Linked DNA regions of Cricetulus griseus. The main gene of each other region encodes a partner of the protein of the gene in region 3 in a complex. Links are inferred from orthologs where the notes say so. Each region holds a gene or a part of one and is shown on either strand. Other genes may lie near its edges.

What was found.
Region 1: Smarcc1 (region 3) and Dpf3 share a complex: the UniProt entries of both Homo sapiens proteins name them as parts of the BAF complex. The link is inferred for Cricetulus griseus from reciprocal best matches to the Homo sapiens genes SMARCC1 and DPF3.
Region 2: Smarcc1 (region 3) and Arid2 share a complex: the UniProt entries of both Homo sapiens proteins name them as parts of the SWI/SNF-B (PBAF) chromatin remodeling complex. The link is inferred for Cricetulus griseus from reciprocal best matches to the Homo sapiens genes SMARCC1 and ARID2.

The regions. Positions count from the first base shown.
Region 1 is NC_048598.1:120,431,816-120,436,950, reverse strand, and holds part of Dpf3 (zinc finger protein DPF3), read right to left. Parts: intron 4,098-5,135; coding exon 3,960-4,097; intron 1-3,959. UniProt on the Homo sapiens protein: Belongs to the neuron-specific chromatin remodeling complex (nBAF complex).
Region 2 is NC_048595.1:392,800,508-392,805,642, reverse strand, and holds part of Arid2 (AT-rich interactive domain-containing protein 2), read right to left. Parts: intron 4,840-5,135; coding exon 4,643-4,839; intron 4,280-4,642; coding exon 1,437-4,279; intron 1-1,436. UniProt on the Homo sapiens protein: Involved in transcriptional activation and repression of select genes by chromatin remodeling (alteration of DNA-nucleosome topology). Required for the stability of the SWI/SNF chromatin remodeling complex SWI/SNF-B (PBAF).
Region 3 is NC_048597.1:217,596,998-217,602,132, reverse strand, and holds part of Smarcc1 (SWI/SNF complex subunit SMARCC1), read right to left. Parts: intron 3,983-5,135; coding exon 3,863-3,982; intron 937-3,862; coding exon 851-936; intron 1-850. UniProt on the Homo sapiens protein: Involved in transcriptional activation and repression of select genes by chromatin remodeling (alteration of DNA-nucleosome topology).

The sequences.
Region 1 (5,135 bases), on a different chromosome or scaffold from region 3:
GGGGTGAGCCATAGGCTCTGCTGAGGTCGCAGTTGAAAGAGATGGAGCAAGGGACAGCAGGAGTAGCAAAGTCAAAAGGTCTCGATGGCTGTGGGTGGTGTGAGCCAGTAGCCTATGGCCCTGCATACTCCTGTATCTGTGGGGCTCTTTTTCTATGACAGCAGCCTGGTCACCCGCAGCTCTACTAAAGGGAAAGTCAGCATTTCCACTTGCCAGCATCCAGACTTTCTCCTGGGGGAGCCGCAGATTAGCCTCCTGGATTAAGCTCGGCTGCCTCCCTCCCTCCCTCCCTCGATCTGGAAGCCTGGCTGGGGGAGGACCATGGAGCAAAGCCCTCAGGATACTGCTGAGCTGTCACATCCAGTTCACCACGCAGCCCCGGTGGCATTTAGGGGCAGTGTGGATGGGAGCCCACTCCAAACCCCAAACAGAGAGAGCAGCTAATGACTGGGTATTAATGATGCCAGCAATTAGTGCTCACAGGAAAGTGGCGGGGGCCTGCTCACCAGGGGCACATGGGAGGAAACAGAGCGCACATTCTCGCACATTCGGAGCAGCAAGCAAATCGGTAGTGTGTATGACCCACAGAAGCCAGAGTGAGCAGCTGCCACTGGGTTTGTCCAGAGAAACCGGGGCTGGGGGAAAGTGACTTCTCCAAACACCAGGAGCTTGTCTGCTGTACCCACTTCCCTGTGGGTGAAATTAGGGCTGGGCACAGAGTTTGCAGAAACAAACTTGTGAGAAGACACCACAAAAAAAAAAATAAAATAAAATAAGGAGTGTTTTTGAGGATTCTGGAACTGTCTTTGTCTGAGGAGGACCTGGATTAGCCCACATATGGCTATTCCTTTCTGGTCAGTCAAATGATGCTTGGTGAAGAAGCCTGTATCTATCTCATCAGCAGGGTGAAAAAGAAAGGAAGACAGGGAGGAGCTGGAGTATGTTGCTCACCCACAAGCCCACAGGTGATAGAGACAAGCATGGGACATATCTCCATGTATAAAAAGGAAAGGCACAGTTTCTTTACTAAGCAAGCCCATGTGATCTCTCAGGGACAACACCTAAGGAGAACACAGATACCCACTGATAATTTCACATTTGAGATCCTGGTAAAAAGAGCAAAGAATATAACAGTGCCGGTCACGGAAGTCTACTTGGAGGTGACTACAGGAATGGCTGGGGAGGAGACTGTCTCCTTCTGCTTACTGTTGTTGCCAAGACTTTGCACATGTACACACATATATACACATGTGTGCAAAACCACCACTCACTATGGACACTACAGGGGAGGTGGGGAAAACACAGCACAAAGGAAAAGCCATCAAAGCACTATAAAACAGGATGCTGGTACACAGGAACAAATGGCCAAGCACTGAGGAAATGCAAGAGATAGGCTAGCACTGGAGGAGCGAGAAAGAAAGCTGACACTTTGGAGAGAGAACAAATCACTAATCTGTGCTTTCCAAATAACACCTAAAACCAAAGATCACTTCCAGCCACTTCTTGATAGGAGGCCACAGCTCCTGTGACTTCCTAGACACTTAGACCAGAGAAGAAAAGAGAAAGGGAATTGGCATTGCCAGCTGCCTCAATACAGACAGGCTTCTACACTGACAGAAAAGGCAGGCTCTCCCAAAGGGCAGGCAGAGAGCTGGGTGTCATAGATAATCAGGATCTGGTGCAGAAAGAGTGACACTACCCTCCTCCTCCAGCTCTGCTTCCCAGATTCTGCCCAGATGGCAATAGGAGGTGAGAAAACGGGGGTCTGTCACATTAAAAGCTTGAACCCTCAAAGTTGGAAACAAATTAATGTCACAGGATGCATTTTCCCCAAATCCAAATTCCTATATTGAAGCTTAACCTCTAGTACATTGGCATTTGGTTCTATTCAAGCTAGAGATTGATAAAGAAGTAATCAAAGTGCTGGAGAGACAGACGGCTCAGTGGTTATGGGAGTGCACTGTTCTTGCTCAGTTTTCAGAGCTTACATAGGATGGCTCACAACCACCTGTAAATCCAGCAATGATCTTGTGCCCTCTTCTGGCCTCCACAGGCACTGCACTCATGTACACATACACACGGACACACATACACACGTGATTTAAAGTGAAAATAAATCCTAAGAAGAAGTGGAGGAGAAAAAGTAAATGAAGAGGTAAAGTTTGTTAAGTGAGGCCACTGGAGCTGGGGAGACAGCTCAGCTGGTAAAGTGGTTGTCATGAAAACATAAGGACCTGAGTTTAGATGCCCCCACCCCACCCCCTGGCAACACCCATGCACAAAGATGGAAATAGTTGCATGTGCCTATAATTCCAGAGCTGCTGAGGCAGAGACAAGCGACCTCTGGAGGTCTCCACAGCCAGTCTTGCCAAATCAGTGAATTCCATGTTCAGTGAGAGACGTGGTCTCAAAAACTAAGGTGAAAACCAACTGAGTACATGCAAGTGTGACAGACAGACAGACAGACAGACACACACACACACACACACACACACACACACACACACACACACACACACAATGCAGCTATTAGGGTGGGTCTTGATCCTGTCTGCCTGGTGACCTTATAAGAAGAGACCCCAAGAGAAGAGGGCAGAGCTGCCAGAGGACAGCCATTTGCAAGGCCAGGACAGGGCTATCCGGAAGCCAACACTGATAGAGCCTTGACCTGGGCTTCTCCAGCCTCCAGAGCCATGAGAAACTAGTTGCTGTAGTTTAAGACTCCTGACCTAAGGTATTTTGTTGTGCCAGCCACAGAACACTGTGGCAGCATGACCATGGGGCACAGGCCAGGGAGGACCACACACAAAACTTAACAAAGATCTTAGCCAGGGCTTGTTCTCATGGTTTCAGATATTTGATGAAAGTGTCCACCTGGCATCAGTCACACAAGCTGAGATACTCAACTACACAGGTGTCATCTCTAAATTTAGAATCTGGTCACTTTTAAAAGTCAGATTCTTGTTCGCTTTAAGAATGTATCCCAGGGCTAGAAAATTAGTTCAGTAGTTGAGAGCACTTATCATGCTTCCAGAGGACCCAGGTTCAATTCCCAGCACTCTCATGGGGGCTAACAAACATCTGGCCCTTCAGTCCCAGGGACCCAACACAGCCTTCTGACTTCAGCAGGTTCCACATGCACATGCATGTAGAGAACATACATACATGCAGACAAAAGCTCATATACATGAAATAATACACTAAGTCTAAGTGAAAAAAAGTTTTTAAAAATACATACCAACCAATTGTATAAACAAAACAAAGCCCACAACAAACATGCACAAATACCCCTCCCTCCAGTGGTCTCAGTATGACCCAGATCTTGAAGCAAGCTCAACAGATTCCATGACCACATCCTTTTTGGGGGGCTTTGGTCATCCCAGAAACCACAATGGTTAGGAGAAAGCCAGTCAAGCGGAGAATGCCTAGCCCCCTTTTGATTCCTAAGACATAACTACAAACTGAGGAAAGGGAGGAAGAATAGAAACAAATCTGCAGGATCACTTTGAGTCTTCAGAGCCAACTGTCATCCCAAGTGATGTATCCATCCAGATGGCAAGAGAGCTCCGTACCCAAAGTAGTGACCCACACAGGAAAATCAGAGCAATTAACCAGCAAATATCAGTCACTCCAACAGCTGCGAGTGGCTCTTCTGCAGCCAAGGGACATGATGGACAGGTCTGGCATGTGACAGTGGCCAGGTGAGGACACTCCCCTTTACACCCCACATCCATCTGGAGATAAGGCTGATCACATGTGTTCTGACCTGCTTACACTTTGCTGATTGCTCAGCTCAGACATAGGTATGGTGGCTGGCTAAGTTTAGGAATCAATTTACTGCAGAACACCAAGCCCCATCAGTTGTTACTGCCAGAAGATACCAGAGTGGAAAGAAAAAGGTTGTTCCCCATGCTACCTGCTCCATCCCTGACTCCCCAACATTACAAGTGGGGACTCACGTCTGTGGTTCTCATTTCTGTGGTTGGGCGGGGACCGAGTGTCCTGGTCTTGGGCTTCATCTCCCTCCTCGCTGGCCAGATGAGTGTGAGCATAGTGGTAGCTGAGTCCCGGCCGGTTCTTGTAGCGTTTGCCACAGACTAGAGAGAAAAAGAGAAGAAAAGATGGACAATGTGAGCAACGTTTTGTGGTCACTCTCTCACTCTTTGGGGCAACAGTCCCCAGCTGTCCACACCAGAGCCAGGTTTCCCCTTAAAGGTACCTCCCACCCTCAAACCCACACTACTGTAACCATGTGGCTTGTGTACTCAAAAGAGGTACAAGAGCACAGACATCGAGGGTTGAGTAAGCTCTACTATTCTGCCTGCGAGACCCCGGGCAAGTCAGTGAACTACTGGGTGTCTCCATTGCTTTAGAGATAAAAATGGGAATGATAGCAGTACTAACTCATTAGTGACACACAGCACAGAGTACTTAGGCAAGCACTGTTTGTGTGCTTGTTACGGCTCAAGGTATGCTAGGCAAGCACTTCATCACTGAGCCACACTCCCAGCCTTAACAAGGCACTTCAAATTTACTGAGCACAGAAGGGGGATTATCAGCATAACTTTGCAACTATCACTGGAAGCCTATCCAGTCCAACGTCTTCAGTCACCAATGAGGTAAATGAGGCCCTAAGCGACATACATGGAACACATCAGTGGAAGAGCCGCCAAAACCCAGGTCTCCTGGATTCCTCTGCAGTGCCCCATCTACTGTTCTGCAGCTGACTCTGCATAAAGTAGCAAATTTTCCATGTATCAGCCCATGATTTATACCAGCAAAATGTGCTCTACTCTCACCACAAACACAATGAGACTGAGGAATCCTGGTGGCTATAGTAGCCAAGAGCTTGTGACCTCAATGCTCCAATTAGCCTCTGGCACCCTAGACCTGTCTCAAATAAGACAGCTTGAGACAAGAGGCAACTAGCAACACTAATATGTCATCTTAGAGGCAAGAATATAGGGGGTGACTCCGCACACTGGATGCTCAGGGTATAGAGAGCAAAAGGCAGGCAAAGTGACCTCCGGCCAGACCACCAGCCATGCCTCCCCACACTCAACCCAGACCCCAGGCTTTGAGGGATGGGGTTGCCAAGAACAGAGACTTCAGGACCCCAAATGTTCATCCTCCTT
Region 2 (5,135 bases), on a different chromosome or scaffold from region 3:
CTGGAGAATGGAAAAGGAGATTAAAGAATCTGGGCAATGTGGGAATGGTTCTTCACGAGTAAGCAGGCTCTTAAGATGGTCCGCCAATGATCTTCACCACTGGACTTCATCGTTTATGTGGAGCTGAAGCAGGCCTGAACCACTATGGAGTGCCTACTGGCAGCAGGCACTATGCTAAAAACCACACAAAGGAATCCTACTTTTGTTTTTCATTTTCATAGCCCTCATGCATACTTTACTTTTCCTTGCAGACAATTATCAATCTTGGAGATAAGGGATGTAGTTTTGGGACTGTGCACACTAAGAATCAAACCTAGGAACTTAGGCAAAACAAGCCACTCTACAACTCAGTTATGCTCTCAGCTCAGAACATGGTTTTTTGTTTGTTTGTTTCTTTTTAATGGACTGTGTTCTCATAACAAATTAGTACTTCAGTACACAATTTTTCAGATCAGCAATAAAATGCATGATTTTAATGGCCTGAGCCATCTGTATAAACTAATATGCTTAGAGTTTTACTATTTGTGCCCTAAACTGATCATTTAATAACACTAACATACACAATAGTTCAAATAATTAAAATGTAAGAGAAAAGACAATTTTCTAGAGTTGTAGAGAGAAAATATTTCGAGCAGGAGAGCAAAGCTCATGAATTAAGAGCTGGCTTCAATCCTGGTACCACCTCTTGGGGCAATGATCCTGGGTGAGTCTTCACCTTCACCATAGTGTTAACAGATTATATGTTAATAGGATTCCTCAAGATCCATGAGAAAATGCTTTAGTGTATCATCCTTAGTGAGGTCCTAACACTAGCTAATGTCACTGTTCTGCTTTAGTGTATTGTCCTTGGTGAGGTCCTAACACCAGCTAACTCCACTGTTCTTCTTGGTTACTGAGCTAACCTTTTTGAATAGTGTAATGATCATCATAATGGAAGATTAAAACACACAAAATGAGGGTAAATTTTATTAACATTAGAGTTATTCTGTAATTTAGTCTGATTAACTATCATTTTATTTAGAGTTCTTACAGACTCCAAGAGGAAAAATCAATCAGACATATATAATCAAAATGAATTGAGAAGTTCATATATAGTAAAACTTTAAAAAATTAAACATTACATTATGTAAGTGAAAAATCCCAACATGTGGAGTTGGGACTTAGAATTTTCTAACACTCAGTGGGCATTCCTGTCAGGTACATAGATAATAGCATCTACCATGCAAGGTGAAACTGCATATACAAAACTGAAAAAAAAAAAAAATCCTTACCTTGAATGCTAGAGTGAAGAACTGAAAACTGTTTAATAAATAAAGAGCACAACAGGGAAGTTTGCGTAGACATGAGCGGACACCATAACTGCTTAAGTTGAGACATGATTCATTTAATGTTTCCAGACAGCATTTCAATGAAACAAACAAGACAAAAGGACTCACCTGTGGGACCACACTCTGTATGTAGGTTGGTGGATGCTGCTGCTTTTGCTGAACAGCACTTTCTATTGCTACTTTAGCTACAGTGCTTGGATCCGCTCCTGCTGGTACAGCAACCATTGTTGCACTGCAGCCAGCATTGTTGGGGTCACTGATTGTAACAATTCTAACTCCTACTTTATTTGGAATTCCTGGGACTGCTTCCCTATCATTATCCTCTGCTGGCCTCTTTACAGTTTTGCATTCAGCTGTGCCATTTGTAGACCGAACATCAGTTGATAGGGCAGAATGGGACACTCTAGATCCTGAGTGGGGAACTGCTAGGATTTGATGCCCCTGTATAACAGGGGTTGTAGAATGTGGTGAAACAACTACACTTGGGCGTTGCTGAGGCACATCTGAATTCAAACTTGAAGCTAGAGGTCCGTTAGACAAGTCAGTACCACTGAATTGTTGTGTTACCACACTTGAAGCTTCCTGCATGCTGCTTGTGGACGGTGACCCACCCAAAGTTAATACAGGTCCATTAGAAACTCTTTCTAGTTCATCACCTTTGGCAGGATCTTGCTGAGTAGCATCTGAAGTCCCTTGTGGTTCTACTGGAGATATCTCACCATTTCCTACATGATTAGAAGTTTTGTGATTTGGAATGTTTTTGCTTAAATGAGAACCATCTCCTTTATCAAAATCACAGATCCCATTAACGAGGGTTTTTTTCAAATCACTTTTGATATCCTGCATGTCCATTTGTTCTGAGTTCTGTTTTCCAGATGCTCCATTCTCACCTAATTCCAAGGATGGCCCATTACTGATTAGTGAGCACTGAATAGTCTCACTTTGAATTTTCCCTGAGTTTGAAGGAGGTAGACTCGAGTCACTGTACTTTCTCCCATTTAAAAGACTTCCCACCTGTATTTCACTTTCACTTGTATCCCCATTGCTGGTGTTTATGGTTCCTCGTCGGCAGGATGGATTCTCCATGACTTCAATTTTCCGTTCATGAACATGTAAACCTGTTGCTTCCTTTGCTTCCTCCTCCTTTTGGCAAATTATCTTGTCGCCTTTGAATGGGGGGGTAGCAGTGGTACATGGTGATTGTCCGGCTGGAAGCGTTTGCACCTGAAGTCCGGCTCCTGCCTGTGCTCCACTCATGCTAATTCCTGCTGGAGCAATGAGCTGAGCTGCATTTCCCTGACTCACAGTCGCAGTTGCAAAACTGGTATTTGGCACAACTGTTATGGTTACCTGGTTGCCAGAAGTCCCTTGGAAAATGGTTGCTGGGCTATTTGAGATCAGTGGACCCGGCAATATTTGTAAGTTCGAAATGGGCACGGTTTGCACTCCCCCTGTTGGTGGCATAGCACTTTGGACCAACTGAACATTTTGCTGTCCAACCAATAGTTGCTGAGCTGGAGTTTGCCCCTGCACTCCAAAACCAGCAGCTTGGTTATTGGCCACCTGATATACCACCTGAGGGCTAGGAGCTCGTGCATTGTTAGGGGGAGGAATCTGTGGTGCTGGGAGGATAAGCTTACCCCCTGGGGTTGAAGGACCCCGCTTTGGAAGCAGCAGCTGTTTGATCAAACTAGACTCATTGGAAGCAGGCTGAGCAACCCCTGCATTTGTTTGCTGAGGCTGAACTTGCATCTGTACTTGCTGTGGCTGTTGAACTTGTACCTGTACCTGCTGTGTGGGAGGTGCTGGTGAATGCTGCTGCTGTTGCTGCCTTTTCACAGATAGCATTTGACTGACAGTAGGAGGTGGTCCCTGCGATTGCATGGTGGAAGAAGATGACATGGCAGTAGGTACTTGGTTATTAGTAGCTGGGACAGGTGATGGTGAAGAAGATGGAGTTATGTTTGGTTGTCCAGTTAGCTGAACTGTCTGACCAGCTGGAAGAGCTGCCGGATTAGCAAGAACAATTTGATGAATGGCTGGTGCGTAAGTTTGACCTTGCTGAGCTGGCTGGCTTACAATCACTACACTTTGCTGGGTTGGCTGCTGTGGTTGTTGAATAGGCTGCTGTACCACTGTTGATGAAACTTGCTGAGAAGGAAGTGGTTTGGGTGCAATGTTCTGGAATCCAACCCTGGAGGGCTGTGGACTTGGAACACCAGCTATGGTGACCACCTGTCCTGTAGCTACCTGGAAATTCTGTACTGAAGTTGCTGACACAATATTGGATGCAGAAGTTGTTACATACTGTGGGGGTGCTATGATAACAGCGTCTTGTGGCTGGCTACCAGCTGCTGTCTGTTGAGATGAAGTGTGCATAGGTTGTGGTGATGTGGTGATTAACTGTTGACCCTGTGAAACTGTAGATGTACATGCTGGTATGTTCTGTACTCTTCCAAATATATGACTCTGTGGTACAGTTTGCTGAATTACTGTAACAGGAGTGCCTGAAGGTATCTGTCCCGGTACCACTGTGTGTAATGGAGATGGTTGTGGCATCACAGATGGATGGTGAAGCAATGTCTGAGAATTCACAACTGTAACAGGTTGTGGCCCTGTACTATGATTCTGAACCACAGAAGTCTGTGCAGGTCCTCCTCCAAGAGCAACACTCACAGGAACTGCTGTCTGGGGCAGAGAATTCTGGATTACTGTTGCTTTAACGACTTCACAAGGAATTGGGGCTTTATTCTGAATGACAGTCACTGGAGCATTTTGTTGCTGGTGGGTATGAACTGAAGGATTTGGTGGAATTCTAGAAACAGTCTGTGCCACAGTATGAACACCTTGTACTGGAAAAGACATTTGTGTTGCAGTCAAATTTGAAGATTGATTGGTAACAGGAGTCCTCTGAAAATGATTTCCTACAGCTTGTGATCCATGAGGGATTCCTATATATATGGGGAAAAATAAAAGTTACAAGTAAAATGACTGTAAGATGTCAAATGTCTTATTATCTAATTTAATACAAGAGGAAGGGTGTAAAGAAATTAATGCCCAAAAGACAGGAAACATTAGAGTATGGTGACACCCATGAGAAACACTGTAAACAGCACAGGGCAAGGCCATCACTTAATATACAAAATACACATTTACATTCTAGCAATCCTTAAAACATTGAAAAACTTGGGGATACTGCCATTTGTCTGTAATCCCAGCTTTCAGAAGGACCCCAAGTTTGAGGCCAGCATGGTTTGTACAGCAAGACCTGACTGCATATATAATAAATGAATATTAAAATTGAAAGTTAATACCTGCAGGTGAAGGTGTTGGAGACACATCAGCAACAGAATCAACGCGGACAACAGGAGTGGAAACTGGCTGTTGCTGATAGTACATCTGGATGGGGAGTGGTATAGCCCTCCGTTTCACTCCTATGACATGAATATGTGCCTGCCCACTGCTATTGGAATCCTCCACTCTCTTCACTGTATGATTTGGAAAAACTGTTCTGTAAAATAACACACACTAATTATGAAAAACAGGACAAAAGTACAGCACTGCCCCCAGCAATGCTCAGAGCATTGCCATTGCTACTAATGCATTGACCAATGAGTCACAATGTCATAGTCTGCAAAAGAGGAAAGATAGATATGTACAAGATTAATTCTCTAATTAAAGAACCATTGCTTATTAACAATGTTGAGTTTTAAGCAATTTATATATAACCAGTTTTTAAAAACATGTATGTTTATGAATTTAGCAAAGCACAAAGGTCTCATATTTGGTCAAATGCATATCAACAAC
Region 3 (5,135 bases):
TGAGCACTTGAAAATTAAATGCAGGAGGGGTCAATGAAGCGTCCTCCTGGATAACATTCCTTATCTCATGAATCAGTTACCCTAAAAGTAGCGCATGAAAAGAATTCTATAGTCCATCTTTATAAGGCGAGTGGGGAGATCAAAAATAGAAGTAAGGAACTTCTACAATAATGATAAACTATAAACTTTAAAAGCCATCACCAGGGCGGGAGAGATGGCTCAAAGGCAGGGAGGGACCAGGCGTTAGTGGCAAACGCCTTTAATCCCAGCACTCGGGAGGCAGAGACAGGCAGATCTCTGTGAGTTCGAGACCAGCCAGGGAGCAGCACTGGACGCTCTTCTGAGTTCAATCCCAAGCAACCACACAGTGGCTCACAACCAACATACATGCAGGCAGAACATTGTATACATAATAAATAACCTTTATCAGGGCAGTGGTGGTACAGGACTTTAATCCGAGCATTAGGAAGACAGAGGCAGGTGGATCCCTGTGTGTAGTTAGGGATATACTGAAGGAGCACATTTGTAGCATGAACAAGGCCCTCGATTCAATTCCCAGTACCACAAAAACTAAATATATTATTTACCTAATAAGAACAGTTGTAATTTTTGAGTGTAAGAAAAAAATCAAAGGAAACTCATTGCTTTGTTTTGTATGAGGTTAGGTTAGAGACTCAGAGATCTGCCTGGCTCTGCCCCAAGTGCTAGGATGAAAAGTGTAGACACCACCACACCTGGCAGAAAACATAACACTGATTTAAAACACAGGCCTTACCTTACCATTAACCGCAATATTCTTACAGAATTCTCTACATACAGAAAATATGATGTCACACTTATTAATACTTACCACCCCTGCTCATTTTTGTACTTGTAAGCAGCCCCAAGAATGTGACACAAGGTGCCTCCAGCTTTGAAATCCATAAAACATTTTGCCTAAAAGTGACAAATAGCACAAGAAAAAATAAAGGTTCCAATAAGACCATGTTATACTTGAAACTTAACTCAGGGACTCTTACATGCTAAAATAAACGCTCTTCCTGGTGAACTACACATCCAGGCCTCCTTTTTAACTCAGGTTCTCAGGTAACCTTAAACTCACTCTGTAGCCCAGGCAACCCTGAACTTTTACCCAGCCTCCTCAATAACCCAATTCTATGCCTCAACCACCAGGTCTGACTCCCAGAACTACTTTTTACTTTTTTTGAGTGTATTTTTCAAGACAGGGTTTCTGTGTAGCCCTAGCTGTTCTGGTACTCATTCTGTGGCCGCCTGGCCTCAAACTCAGAAATCTCTACCACAAGTAACTGGATTAAAAGGTGTGCACCTCCAGCACCTGGCTACTTTTATTTTTTTTTAAATCAGGGCCTCACATAGCCCATACTGACCTCAAATAAGCAATGTAGCTGAGATTGAATTTAAACTTTAATCTTCCTTCCTCCATCTCATGGTTCACAGAAAAACACTACCTCGAAGGAAAAAAAAAAAAAAAAAAACCAAAACTACAACAAAAATGTATTTGCTTTGGTAAGTCTTTCTCATTTACAAACCTCACAACCATCTCTTTCATTTGAGAAAATGCTGCATTCTATTTTCAGAGGAAAAGAAATACATCTGGGTCCTACTGGCACTAAGCCATGAATTATTTTTAATTATGATTTATAACTAAAAATATTCTCCAGTCCCTAAACGCTTTTAGGAAATAATGGTTTGGTTCCCAGGAGTTAATATCCCATGTATAAAGTCCCTTATAATATCATTTTGGATGATAACACTTACGTTCATAATTAGGAATAACAAAAGAATGTGAATTTTTTTGTTTTTCAAGACAGGTTTTCTCTGTGGCTTTGGAGGCTGTCCTAGAACTAGCAGGATTTTAAATCCAGCACTAGAGACAGATGTAGGATCTGAGTTCAAGGCCAATCTGGTCTACCCAGTGAGTTCCAGGACAGGCTGGAATATACAAAGACCTTATCTCAAAAAAAAAAAAAAAAAAAAAAAAAAAAAAAAGAAACTTATTAAATTTCCATTTATTAGCCAAAAGTGACGGTGCACACCTTTAATACTAGTAGTCAGGAGGCAGAGGCAGGTTAATCTCTCAGAGTTTAAGGACATTAGGGTCTACATAGTGAGTTCCAGGACAGTCAAGTTATGTAGAGAGACCCTGTCTGAAAAAACAAAAACAAAACAAAAATATCTGCATAATTTTATTTTGTGTGTGGGTAGGGTGTGCTAGCGCCACAAATGCAAACATGTACATGAATGAGAAGACAATGTGAAGGAGTCTGTTTTTCCTTCCACCATGTAGGTTCCAGAGACAGAACTCAGATTGTTAAGCATGGTGCCAAGTCCTTTCATCTGCTCAGCTGCTTCACTGTGCCTTGATATAATTTTAAAGTATAAAACTACACTGACCTTTAGTCAGTCAAACAAAACTGTTACAGAACTTTCCTAGTATGCACAAAGCCCTAGGTTGGAAAACCACAAAGAAAAAAGGTCTTCAATTCCACACAAGTGTGCTTTTACTCTGCTTCTCCATTACAGTACCTCGGGTAGCTGACTGCTGAGGACAGGCATCTGGGTAATTATTTTCTTTTTTTATACATATACTCACTTATTTTGTGTGAAAGAGAGGGTGGCAGGGCAGGTCAAGGTACTTGCTCTCAATACTGATGACTTGAGTTTGGTCCCTGTGACCGACATGGTGGAAGAACCAACTTCTGAAAGAAGTCCTGACCTTCACATGCTTGCTATGGCAGGCACATGCCCACACACACATAGTCACACGCTAAGTCAATAAATTAATTTTTCTTTTTGAGACAAGATTTCTTTCTCTATGTAGCCTTGGCTGTCCTGGAACTTACTCTGTAGATCAGGCTGGCACTGTAGATCAGTGATCTGCCTTTGCCTACTGAATGCTTTGATTAAAGACCTGCACCACCACTGTCCAGCTATTTAAATTTTTTAATTAAAAGCAAAACAATAAGGAGCTAGAGAGATTAAGAGCACCGGCTGCTCTTCCAGAGGACTCCAGTTTAATTCCTTGGCAGCTCACAAATGTCTGTGACTCCACTTCCAGGGGGATATAACACTGTCACGCCAATGCACATAAATTAAAACCAAAACAAATACAAAAGTACTCTTCAAGACAGGGTTTCTCTGTGGCTAGGAAGATTTTCTTCTAAATACTTACTTATTATGTACAGTGTTCTGTCTGCATGTATCCCTGCAGGCCAGAAGGCACCAGATCTCATTACAGATGGTGTGAGCCACCATGTGGTTGCTGGGAACTGAACCCAGGAACCCAGGACCTCTGGAAGAGCAGTCAGTGCTCTTAACCTGTGAGCCATCTCTCCAGCCCTACAAAAGTACTCTTGCCACAAGATTCTAACAGATAAGTATCAGTATGCACAGCACAGCAGAAACTCTGGCAACCCTAACACAGAAATATTAGATCCTCATGATTGGTGCAGAGTCTAAAGCATTAAAAGACATAGTAGGCAAGAATTCTACCACCAAGCTGAGAATGATAAGCACATGCCTATAATCCCAGCTCATGGATCAGGTGTTCACAGCTCGCCTCTAATTCATAGGCAGTTCCAGGTCAACCCCAGGCTATGTGACAGCCTGTCTCAAAAACAAACTAAACAAAATACTTCTCTGTACAGTTGTGTCCACCCCACCCCACCCTAATTTCAACAGCAAGGGAATCAGACATAGGTTGACACTTCAAAGTACAGAAGCTGAGCCAGGCAGTGATGGTGCACATGTTTAATCCCAGAACCTCGGAGGCAGAGGCAGGGCTATTATACAGAGAGGAGAGGGGCTAAAGATCCTATGTAACTTGTACTCATGTACTTACAGGTAGTTTGGTGAAAGCTGGGTTGGTGACATGCTTCCCAAAGGCATCTTCTTGGAACTGAAGAAGCTGTACCACCAGTCCAGCCAGTGCTTTATTGGTAGGAGCATCTGCATGAACATACTGCAAGAAAAAGACAGGGATTCAAACCTGCTACAGCTGGGAGAAAGCTACCTTACTTCCCACTACCTATTAAGTAACAGCACTGCACCAAATTTTAGGTGTGTGAAGCACATTCTCCACTGCAAAGAATCATAAAAACCACACATGTGCATATTTTCTTAATTTATTCTCTTTTCAAGACAAGGTTTGTGTAGCATTGGCTATCCTAGAACTCACAGAGATCTACCTGCCTCTGCCTTCGGAGTGCTAGGATTAAAGGCGTGCGTCACCATAGCCAGGCCTACAGCAGTTAAGACTAGGTGCTCTTATCAGCATCTGCATGACAGCTCAGAAATGTCTAAATCCAGCCTCCTGGCCTGAGGATACCAGACATGCACATGGTATACATACATACATACATGCATGCATGCATGAAAAGCACCCATAAACCCAAACAAGAAAAAACTTTAAAAATACACTGGAGCGGGGCCGTGGTGGTGCACACCTTTAATCCCAGCACTCAGGAGGCAGAGGCAGGTGGATCTCTGTGAGTTCCAGACCAGCCTGGTCTACAAGAGCTAGTTCCAGGACCGCCTCCAAAGCCACAGAGAAACCCTGTCTCGAAAAACAAACAAAAAAAAAAGGAAGAAAAAGACAAACCGATGGTGGAGACAGTTTCATGACACTAGGAAAGCATAATTAATGAATTAAATGCAAAACCTGTATTAGGGCTGGAGAGGGAGAGGACTCAGTACTTAAGAGCATGGCTGCTCTTCCAGAGTGTCTAGGTTTGACTCCCAGCACACACATGGGAGCTCAGAACCAATGGCAACTCCACTTCCAGATGATCCCAAATGATCCTTCTGGTTTATATGGCACACTTTGGTACACAGACATGTATGCAGGCAAAACAGTCACACACAAACTAAAAATAAACTGAAAAATTGTATTTGAGCCCACTATTGTGACTCATCCTCATAATCCCACAACTATAAAAATGGAAGCAGGAAGGCGTTGAAGACCATCAAAGGCTACAAAGGAAGGTCTGGGGCTTCTGAGCTACAGTGGTTTTGGGTCATTTGTTTTTCTAAAGTTTTATATAGGCCAAGCTGGCCTCAAAAGAAAAGAGACCTTCAAAGTCTCATTTGTTTCATATTAACTGCTGAGACTGAAC